Linked DNA regions of Schizosaccharomyces pombe. Changing the gene in region 1 together with any one later gene gives a genetic interaction. Each region holds a gene or a part of one and is shown in the gene's direction. Other genes may lie near its edges. The genes, in order: lem2, ckb1 and dsh1.

Region 1 (3,756 bases):
ACATCATGTATATCATGGACGAAAGTTTAAAAGGTTGGCAACCAAAGCCAAGTTCATGAGAGGAAAAGAAGATTATAACTATAATCCTCGACACAGGAAAATAAGATGTACTGTCATCGCAAAGCAATAGGCAACACGTCAGTAATAATTAGGAAAATTAAAAGAAAAAAACACAAGAGAAAAAAATGTACGAGACCGGTGAAACAAGTTTCAAACAAATCTCGATAAAAGCACAACGAGATTATTAATAGCATAATAAAAACTAGCCAGAATAAAATTAATGCAATATGCAGATCATAACACCCAACGCTCATAAAAAAGGTAACAAATGCCCATTCTAAGCATACAAATCGAAAAGTAAACGAGGCACATTTTCGATAAATAGTCATTGACGAACATTTCCATATTATAAATGAATTGCTCGCTCAATTAACTAACAAGGAATAAGATGAAGTTAAGGAAATCTAGTCAATAAAAATCAAGATTTCAAATCCAAGAAATCCATTAAAAACGTTGGCATTTCTTTTAACTATAAGCCGTTAGAAAAGGAATTCAGTAGCTTTTGTATGAAATCCTCTAAAAACCAAAAGCGAAGGAAACAAAATTAACCCATATAGAGAGCTAAATTCTATAATCCAAAAAAACAGAAAGACAGAGGTACATAGGGTGATAGTAAGAAAGTCATAATACTAGCAAAAATACTAGACTATGATAAATTCTCTTGGCCAATGTTCAAATAAATAGTGCTACAACGAACACGTGTAGATAAACGCGGAGACGAAAGAAGGTGAAACAAAAAAGTGGAATAGTTAGAACAGAACACGAGGCTTAAAAAGGTGATATGTCCTTAGACATAAATAAGCATCCAATGAAACTATGCACTTCCTTGACGCAGCATACGGAACAAGCGCTGTTCACGATCGCGATGAAACAATAAGTCTAGGGCAGAAGTAGAATGACAATGAATGCCGTTATTAGGGGAATTCAAAGTAGGGGTAATGTTACCAGTGGGATGGCCGGCAGCATTGAAGTGATTAAAAGAAGGAGTGGAAGCTGAATAGTTAGTATGAGGAGAATTGTGTCCACTGTAAAATCCATTCGTCTGTTGAATACTCTGCAATGAGGGATCGTTACGAGACATCGGACAAAAATTATGACCCATGGCAACTTCGGATGGGGTTGAAGGAACAGAGGAAGATTGATGAAACTGGAAAGGCATGTTTGAGTTCACACTACCAGTAGGAGGTTGCCATTCAGCCTTTTCGGAAACGGGAGAGTGTAAGAACGTAGGGATGGGAAGATTAGAAGCGGCCGGAGAATGAGTAAATGTAGGACCGGCGTAAAGAATGGAATTAGTATCGGAAGAGGAATTCGAAGAAAAAGATCGATCAGCACCGGAAGAATTGGAAACGTAAGAAGATACAGACTTCAAATGAGAATCAACTTCTCCGACGGCAACCTTATCAATTCCTAAGCCAGCAGGAGCCGAAGCAACACCAGAAGGAAGGTGGGAATTAGAATTGCCACCTGAGATACGAGAGCCAGCATACGAACTGTGACCAGATTTAGAGCGTCGATTCCCGCGTACTTTATCGCCATTTCGCTTACCATTGCTTTCACCAATGTTAGAAGTAGCAAAAGTACTCTTGGGTTTCACAAAGTTAGGTATCTGGAGATTACCATCTCGTTGGGGCATAATCGACATTCCATCTAAACTGAACTCGACATCGCTGGAAGCAACCATTGCTCCGCCCGGTTTAGAATTAATTTTCTTCTTATTACGTTGAAATCTACGTCCAATGTCTTTTTGCATTTTTTACTATAGTCAAAATTCGAGTAATCCCTAATGATCATGGATTCTGTATTCTTAGTGATTGATGTTGGTTAAGGATAACTTCGGGGGCAACACTCTTACCCAATATACGTTATTTGGGCTGAGGTGACACAAAGCAATGAGCTGCGCTATGCCTCCTTATAGAGCTTTCTTCCCTTAACCATTATTTGCCACCCACTTTAACTGGCAAAAAGAAAGAAGGAAAACAAAGATTCGGCACAAAGATAGAGAAATAAGAAATTGCTTTACCTTCGTTTAGTGAAGTCTTTTATTAAATTTGAAAAGGTGTGTTTGAACAGTGGAATTCAAGCAATTTCCTAAGTATATTATAGCTCATTGCTGTAATATTATAAATTTGTATGGGATTGCAATTACGTTCACGAATCAGCAACTTATGCCAGGTTTCCTTTTTAATGTAGATAAGGATTCATGTAATTAACTAGCTTATATCAGCTTTATACCATTTTTGATCAGTTTGAATTATTCACCATGGACAATTGGGAGGACCCTAACTTCGAATTGCGAAATCTTCGTGTCATAGACTTGAAAAAGATCCTTCATGAATCGGGAGTGTCATTCCCTGTGAATGCCAGAAAAATAGAGTATATTAGGATGGTGGATAGAATACGGAAAAACAAATTAAGCTCTGGTCCACAACATTTATTGTCTCATCTTCAAAAAGAGGAAAACTCTAACACCTCAAAAGCGTCTAGCTCCGAGGATGAAATAGCTCCTAAATACCTTTATCCCTCCTCTCCTTCCAAAAGCACGAAAAAGCCACACAACGAAACAGAACCGCTTCTGTCTCCACAATTCATTGACAAACCTAGCAACATTGAAACCCCGGTTAAAATAGAGTCTCCGCACGTCTCTCAAAATAATACCTTTCAGTCCTATTCTGAATTGAGCCCTAATGTGGAAACATCGCTGACTATGAAAACTCCGCCAGCCCACGCGTCTACACCAAAATTTCGCTCGCATAAATCTCATAGGGTAGCTGTTCCTATGTCATTTATGGATAGCTCTGCTTTACATACTTCGCCAGCATTTTCGGAGAGGTTAAAGCTGCTTTCATCTTCAAACAATTTTTCTCCACAATTGAGGTCTCCCAAAATATCACATCGTCTACAAACTTCAGCCACTTCTAGTCCTCTTCAACATAAACGACCCTTTACTAATGTTCCTGAGCGAGTCTCTCGAGATATCGAGTTTGCTCCTCTTGACAGTGCAAGGCCCTCTGAATCTTCATCGCCTTATTCTGAAGTAGACTCTGCTGAGGAAGATGACGAGCTTTTTCAAAATTACGTTTTGCAGCAGACTCGAAAAGAAAGCAAACTTTGGTCGTTTATTAAAAAAGTATTTCACGACATTAAGTACGCCAATTATCGTCTTCTTCACAATTTGCGCGCCTTTCCTGGAATCAGCGCGATATCTTCTTCTTATTTAGTGCATATTTTTATGATTTTATTAGGAGTGGTGGCAGCAATTTTTCTGGCTTTATTACGGGAGAAAATGTTTACAGCAGGATTCTGTGATTCGGGTGCCAGTGGAAGTTCTGCTTCAATTCTTGGAATAAGTTTTCCATCATTGTGTAGAACTTGCCCTCCGAATGCAATATGTCCCTCTCCAAATTACGTTGAATGCAAGCCCGGATATGTCCTCTACGAACCATGGTATTCAAGTTTAGGATTTTGGCCCTCCAAGTATTGCGTTAGTGATACTTCTAGAGAAGAAAGTGTTAATATTTTTCGTGAAGAATGTTTAAGTGTATTAAGATCCTGGAATGCAATTTTGCATTGTAGCAATAACTCGTCAGATTTGCTGGAACGAAATATGTCGTACAATGCGCACCCTTATGTCGCCGATAATCTTAATATATCATCTGATCATATCTCCTTCCCATCAAAACCATTTGCGTTAGG
Region 2 (3,756 bases), 2.3 Mb from region 1:
AGGTGAAATTTATAGGAATCTGGAAACTTAAGAAATTATGTCTTGTATTTTAGGGATGCCAAAAAATTGTCGAATGAATAAGTTAATGAGTTAGAATGTTTACGTCTTCATTCTGGTTAGGTTTAAAAATGATGATTTTCGTTTAGAAGTTATATATTAAAATAAAGGTATAATAGATATCATTAATAACCAATGATAAAAAAAATTGTGTATAAAATCACCGTGGGTATAACTTAAGTTTAAAGTGTGCAATTAATGAAATGTCCTCAGGCCATTCATTTTTATTACGAATCACCAACGTTACTATCACCGCACCAACCATACTTTAAAACGAAAGGAAGGGTTGTTGAAAGTTTGCTCTTCTCTACTGTGTACATATTCGAAATGGGTTTTATTAAGAGCACGCTGCTTGCTACTGTGACAGTATTTGTTGGTTTGTGCGGAATCAACCGATTTTTTACTCTCCCGAAATGTATTAGATATCACTTTCGCTATTTCGCATGTCACACATTTTTAGCTATTAGTTCTGCTTATGGGGTTATAGCCTCAGTTGTTGCACGTTTATGTGGTTATCCCGTAATGGGACAATATTTAACTGCAAAGGCATATTATGGACTGGCTAGTACAATCCTTGACTTTCGGTTTAAAATCGAAAACGAGGAAATTTTGAGAAAACATAAGTCTGCTGTCTTAGTAGTTAATCATCAATCGTAAGCATACCTCAAAATATACTTCTTTATGATAAAAAATAACTGACTTACAATTTTAATTAGTGAATTGGATATTTTGGCTATAGGAAGGACTTTTGGCCCTAATTATTCTGTTATTGCTAAAAAGTCTCTAAGATATGTGCCCATTTTGGGATGGTTTATGATATTGTCTGACGTTGTATTTATCGATAGGTCTCGCCGAAGTGATGCGATTCAACTTTTTGCGAAAGCGGCACGAAGAATGCGCAAAGAAAATATTTCTATTTGGGTATTTGCAGAAGGCACTCGTTCCTATAGCCTTAAGCCCTGTCTTCTTCCCTTGAAAAAGGGCGCATTTCACCTTGCTGTACAGGCTCAAGTACCCATTATTCCTATTGCAATTCAGACTTATGGTCATTTGTTTCATCCTCCTACCAAAGTATTCAATAAAGGTGAAGCTCTGATTAAAGTGCTTGATCCAATTCCTACGGAGGGGAAAACTGCTGAAGATGTGAATGATCTTCTACACGAGACTGAAACCGCTATGAACAATGCATTGGTTGAAATCGATGACTATGGAAAGGTAAAAAAACAGTAAATAGGAAGAAGACACACAATTGGTGTTCTTATATAATTACTTGTTAGTTCAACTGAGAGAAGCATTTACCTATCCTAAGGTGGTTTGTTTCGTTTTAAATCAAATAGGTTTGATAATATCATTGACGCTTTTCTTTTTTTGTTTAGAACAAGCCGTACTTTTTATAAATACCTCTATGAATAACTGATTAATTTAGCTTTACGATTTATTTGGCAGTTACTAGGTAGTAGCTGGTTATGTATATTGCAAGATTCCCTAAGTACGAATCTCGAGAAACGCAAGCCATAGTAATTTATATAATTCACTGTGGATTCGAAGCGAGAACAGTTTGTTTGTTCAAATTTCCAATTGAACCAACGTTTTATCTATTGCGACTTCTTATTAAGCAGTACAATATTAGAGACTTAACTACAATGATAGCTATATCATTCTACAAAGTGTCACTGTCACACCTGTATTATTCCTTAAAAGGTACAACATCAAGTATAATGTAAATAACACAGCAATAACAAAATAGAAGTTGCTTTGTAGCAGATGGAACGCTAAATATTTCATTTTTGTTGCTAAAGCAGTTTTAATAGAATGAACTATTGTGCTACTATAGTGCATCCCAGTGCATAAACGTTTAAGTGCTAGATAACATACCGAAGTGCAGCAAATTGAATTTCTAGTAACACGCTAATTAGTTTTTCATTCCTTTAGTGTAGAATGAAGGAAAACACCGGAGCTCCAGAAAGACTACGATACGACAACGTACTTCTCTTCAAATTTTCCATATATTAGAAGCTGCTAAGGCTGAAACGGAAATCAAATTTTGCATTAAGCAATTAGGATTTTTGGTGCAGCTTTTCAACGTAAATCGGAACGAAGCATGCAGCTATACTCTTCGGAAAGGTTTGTGCAAATTAGGGTTAAATAAAAAAATATTTTACATTTTGGCCATATTGGACCGTTTATTAATCATTAATTGCAGTGAATCCGATGATTCTCAATATTGGGTTGATTGGTTTTTAGGACTAAAAGGAAACGAATTTTTTTGCGAAGTCGACGAAGACTTCATCCAGGATCGCTTTAATTTGACTGGATTGAGTCATGAAGTTCCACACTACTCCCAGTCTTTAGACCTCATTTTAGATGTATTGGATCCTGATTTACCAGAGGAAGTACAAGATGAGGTAGAAGCTAGTGCTCGTCATTTGTACGGCCTTATTCACGCCCGTTATATCTTAACGGCTCAGGGTTTATATAAAATGGTAAGCAATTATGTTTGTAAACTTCTAGTTTCCTGTTTTTAAGTTTGGATACAATCTTCGTGAACAAAACAGGCATTAGACAAGTATAATGGACACTAAGTGTGTAACTTGACTTATCTTTCAATTCTTCAATTTTATTACATTTATGTCATACCGTACTATTTCGTTTTAATTAGCTTTGGATTTTGACTAACATCCTTTCTAGCTTGAGAAATACAAAAAATGTGACTTTGGGCATTGCCCTAGAGTTTTATGCAACGGACAGCCAATGTTGCCCGTCGGCTTGTCGGATATTGCCCATACAAAATCCGTTAAATTATACTGTCCTCGGTGTGAGGATGTGTACACACCAAAATCACAAAGACATGCATCCATTGATGGTGCATATTTTGGAACCTCATTCCCTCACATGCTTTTTCAGGTATACCCTGAACTTGCGGTCCCTAAATCTCAAGAACGCTACATTCCACGTATTTTTGGTTTCAAAGTACATAGCTATTCTGCTACCTTTAAAAAACAAGATGTATACAAAGAAAAGCAAAAAAAGCGTTTACAGGGAGCCGAAGCTGAATCAAAAAATAAACTGGCAATAACTTAAAGGCATTTTGCTTAATCTTCATTAACAATAGAAGTTCACCCGATTCTTCGAAGTCCCATAATCACCAAGGCAAAAAATTTTATTTACATTATAGCTATGACAGTTTTTACTAGAATGAACTTTTACGTTTTTAGATTTTTCCCGAAGCATCAGCTCCTTTTATCTAAGAGCGTAATTTTCAAACTTCTAATCATCATTGAAGCTAAAACCTTTTATGCTTATTCAGCTTTGAACCTCTTTTTTTACTTTGATAATTGCTTTAATAATTTAGTTTTGATCATGACATATACTGTGGTTAATATTTATCCACTTCTTTCATCAAATTGTTAAATTGATCGTAAAGACGAATGTCCTTGGAATCAGGCCCTTCATCGAGAAGTTCCAGCGCTGTCTTCAGTAAACGTTTTTCGGGATCCAGACTCACCAGGTAGCTAGATAACTCCGTACAAACGTCCCAGTTTTTTATTTTTAAAGCCATTTCGTATATACTTAGAAAGGTAGAAGCACAACTGGCTGAACCCTGATGGATCTGCCATATTATCAAACACTCTGCGGCACTTTTAACATCTTCTGTTTCTAAACACTTTTTCATTAAGTCTTTTGGTTCTCCGAAATACT
Region 3 (3,756 bases), on another chromosome or scaffold:
GGCAATAAAACGAATGAAGAACTAGAGAAGGAATTTAAAAGCACATCAGATAATTTTGGTAAGCACATAATACTTACTTCAAGTTTCTCTAATCAAAGTGCTGATAAAGGTTCAAGCTTAGCAGCTGAAGATGACCGCAATGATGAAGGTTCCACGATTACTGGAGTAAATAGAGAATTGCAAGATGAAGGGCGTTTAGAAATAGATGCTAAATCTTCAAAAACTAATACTCCTCCCTCTCCACTTTTAGTGGGTACTCCTAGTAAAGAGTCATTAAAGGAGGCTTCTTCGGATGACGAGTTACCTGTTTTGGCTACGAAACTTGTTGATAATGTCATTAAAGAAAAATCCCCATTGTCATTAACTCCTAAAGTGGTAGTTCCTTCGCATAAAGAAACTTATACGGACGAAAAAAAGCTGATAGATGAGCTTGACAGAGTGAATCCACTCAATTCTTCACAACTTCTTCGAAGTAAACGGAAATCAGCGGCAACTGCCTTATCAATGTTACAAAATGTCATCATGCCAGACGTTCTTGCTTTTGAACGTGAAAAAAAAAGACGTCAAACACACCGGTCAGTTTCTAGTGGAGAGGTTTCGCGCGAGTCTTCAGAGTCTCGAAACACTAATGCCAAAGCTAGTAAAAGAGTATACATAACCTTTACTGGTTACGATAAAAAACCTAGTATCGATAATCTTAAGAAACTTGACATGTCGATTACTTCTAATCCAAGTAAATGCACACATTTAATAGCTCCTAGAATTTTAAGAACATCTAAATTTTTATGCTCTATACCTTACGGACCATGTGTTGTTACAATGGACTGGATTAATTCTTGTTTGAAAACTCATGAGATCGTGGACGAAGAACCGTATTTATTGAATGATCCCGAAAAAGAACTTGAACTCGGATGCACTTTAGAATCCGCTTTGAAAAGAGCACGGGCACAAGGTCCTTCTCTGTTGGAGGATTACGTTGTCTATTTGACTTCAAAAACTGTAGCTCCTGAAAATGTTCCAGCGGTAATTAGCATTGTTAAGTCCAACGGAGGTGTTTGCTCAACTTTAAATGTTTACAATAAAAGGCTGGCACGTCACTTAGAAGATGGAAACGTGGTCTTGATTACCTGCAATGAAGATTCTCATATTTGGACTAATTTTCTTGATAATGCTTCCCAAAACAAAACTATCTTTCTACAAAATTATGACTGGTTGATTAAAACTGTTTTACGCCAAGAAATCGATGTTAATGACCGTATCGCTGATGAATTTGCAAGAGCTGTTTAATTAGTTTACTATATGCCAATACTTCTACAAGTTTGCAAACCGAACCTTGAGTACAAAGAGATTTTTTATTTTATTGAAATTATTTTTTACACTACACTTTCCCAAATATTACGGAAACATTCTTTTTTGGTCCTTTTTTCCGTTCACCTACTCTGATCATAGCACTATATTTCTTTCACAGCAGCAAAATTCAGGCATGCTTGACAACTAAGGATGTATGCCTCTATCCAATATATATACTTGATACGTAGATGTCTTTCCTTTAAAAATACTAGTCCTATACCGTTATTGCAACTAGTGAATCTATACTCGTTACTCCAATTGTCACCTCAACTTAAGATATGTACTGAGCAGTACTACAGGTATTTCCAAGTTTGAGCAGGTTTAGCACAAGGGCAGTTTAGGTCGTCCTTTATGTCTTCCTTATGGAACAACTTTTTGTATAATAAACAGGTACTTCTCAAATTACGAAATCTTGCTTGAATCCTATATTCTAGATATTTGCTCTCAAAAATCAATTTTGGTAAATCACCACTTGTAGGTAAAAGAATATGATCTTACTGAACTGAATGATCATGATTATCTAAAAATGAGAATTATTAGTCAATTCAATGTTAAAAAATTTTATTATTTTGAAGTTGGAAAAAGATCACTTATGATTTGCTGACAGATTGGAATTCAAGAGCAGTCGACTTCAGAGAAAAAAACATGCAATGGCAGAAAATAAGAAATTTTCAATAAGAAAAAAACGTATGAAATGCTCATTGAATGTACTGGGAGCTTTGACTAATATATTGCTTTTCACCTAGGCGAATGTTCATATCCTACGTTCAGAACCCTTTATGAATTTAACAAATTTTTTTTGAGGTATAAAACTGAGATTTCGAAAATTCAAAGAAGAACCTCTTCATTAATTCAGTATGAAGAGCACTCAAGTGTAGGTTTGTTTGGGGTTATCCATTCATTGATTGCATTTCTAATTAGCATATATTACTACAGGCTATTTTCATATATTATGAAACCCCACAAATGTTTGACTTGGCTACCAAGGCACTGCAAACACTTTACAACTCCCATACTCGTGAAGGCGAGACAAAGGCAGCTTCCAAATGGTACAGAAATCCCCGAAAAGATTTTCCAAGTCAAGAAGCTGCTTTAGTAAGAAAGAAGAAACGCGATGCTTTGATTTTAAAAAAATATTTACTCAATGTGGATCCTTCTTTGTCATTTCGTGCAGAGGTAATATTTACATATTGAGCTCATTTATAATAACTTGACGATTATTAGGGTTTATTCACATTACCTTCAGATGATTTGGACGTTTACGAATTTTTCGGTGGAGAAAATCTTACTTTATTCAATCAAGTCCGTGTGGATTGCCAATGTTATATCCACTATCTGCCCAAGTTAGCTGTATGTATTTTAAGTAATTTCTTTTTACAGGATGCTTACATTTCATTCTTTCAGGCCTTTTATGTTCGATGCGACAGTGTAAAAAACTTAAAGGTTGCTTTGAAGCGAGTCAAACACATTTTTTACGAGCAGGTCTCTTTAATTAGATTAGAAAGGACTCAGCCAATACTGCATCTAATGAATTTTGACGACTACTCAACCTCTTATGAACTGTTTTATGATCGAAACTTCCCATTAGCGAAGAAATACAAGCCAAATTCTATTTATCTGCATCGCCTACCCGAATCGATACCGACTCCTGTCGATAGTGTTAAAATTAACTTGTATGTGTTTTTTTTTAAAAAGGCTGGTATATTTATTGACATAACTATAGGATTCGTGAAAGGAGTTTCAATCTTTTAAAAAATTTCGTTTCAGCATCTTTATTTAATGTTTTTTTATTCTCAGGTACAGTTTTTATGCGAGTTAAAGTTGGTATACCTCTATTTGAACGACTCAAAGTTGGTACTAATAAGGTGAAAAATAACTCCGTGAACATTGCACAAAGTTTTTTGGAGCCCCAAACACGGTCAACGTTTTTGAGGTATTTATTCTCTGACGAAGTTTCCGTAAAAGTTTGCCATGTTTTAAAAGAGCTCCGTAGTCCCACAGGCGAAAAACTCTTTGAGTCTTTTTCAGATGATCCTATCACAGCCGTACATTTTGAAGTGATGAATTGCAAAGGTGTTCAAGATACATTGACTGCAATATGGAATACTAATTCAGGCAAACCTAGCGGGTGGTATCTTGAAAGTACTATGTACAAAGCCTTGGACGTTACCTATTACAACTTGAAGTACGTGTTTTTACTCATTTCTTTTCTAACACTCTTGCAGTACGCTTTCATGGAACCTTTACATTGAGTATGGACATCCAACCCAAAACTCAACTTTTTACAAAGAGTTCATATCAAATATTTCTATGTCGTAAGGCTGACTATTAAAAGAAAATTATAAGCTGACCATAAAGTGATGATGGAAGAATCTATTTTATGAATACCAGAGACATAAAAGTTCG

What was found.
Region 2: of lem2 (region 1) and ckb1, changing one enhances a phenotype caused by changing the other (phenotypic enhancement), as found in Schizosaccharomyces pombe (one study listed by BioGRID).
Region 3: of lem2 (region 1) and dsh1, changing one enhances a phenotype caused by changing the other (phenotypic enhancement), as found in Schizosaccharomyces pombe (one study listed by BioGRID).

What each region holds. Positions count from the first base shown.
Region 1 is NC_003424.3:2,232,275-2,236,030, forward strand, and holds the start of lem2 (LEM domain nuclear inner membrane protein Heh1/Lem2), read left to right. Parts: upstream 1-2,003; 5' UTR 2,004-2,323; coding exon 2,324-3,756. Other genes in the region: protein Edc1, read right to left, coding at 875-1,813. UniProt on the Schizosaccharomyces pombe protein: Nucleus inner membrane protein involved in meiosis. Plays a role in regulating nuclear envelope (NE) morphology and nuclear integrity, particularly during spindle pole body (SPB) extrusion or insertion through the NE, and perhaps during karyokinesis.
Region 2 is NC_003424.3:4,500,250-4,504,005, forward strand, and holds the start of ckb1 (CK2 family regulatory subunit Ckb1), read left to right. Parts: upstream 1-2,032; 5' UTR 2,033-2,158; coding exon 2,159-2,181; exon of another isoform or gene 2,182-2,260; coding exon 2,261-2,540; exon of another isoform or gene 2,541-2,745; coding exon 2,746-3,138; 3' UTR 3,139-3,433; coding exon of another isoform or gene 3,434-3,756. Other genes in the region: nuc2 (anaphase-promoting complex TPR lobe subcomplex subunit Apc3), read left to right, coding at 1-31; 1-acylglycerol-3-phosphate O-acyltransferase Slc1, read left to right, coding at 385-710, 774-1,287; ric1 (Rab-specific(Ryh1/Ypt6) Ric1-Rgp1 guanyl-nucleotide exchange factor subunit Ric1/Sat4), read right to left, coding at 3,434-3,756.
Region 3 is NC_003423.3:423,691-427,446, reverse strand, and holds the start of dsh1 (protein dsh1), read left to right. Parts: upstream 1-2,000; coding exon 2,001-2,037; exon of another isoform or gene 2,038-2,096; coding exon 2,097-2,224; exon of another isoform or gene 2,225-2,286; coding exon 2,287-2,526; exon of another isoform or gene 2,527-2,574; coding exon 2,575-2,700; exon of another isoform or gene 2,701-2,754; coding exon 2,755-3,023; intron 3,024-3,051; exon of another isoform or gene 3,052-3,073; coding exon 3,074-3,535; intron 3,536-3,575; coding exon 3,576-3,665; intron 3,666-3,708; coding exon 3,709-3,756. Other genes in the region: BRCT domain protein Brc1, read left to right, coding at 1-1,287.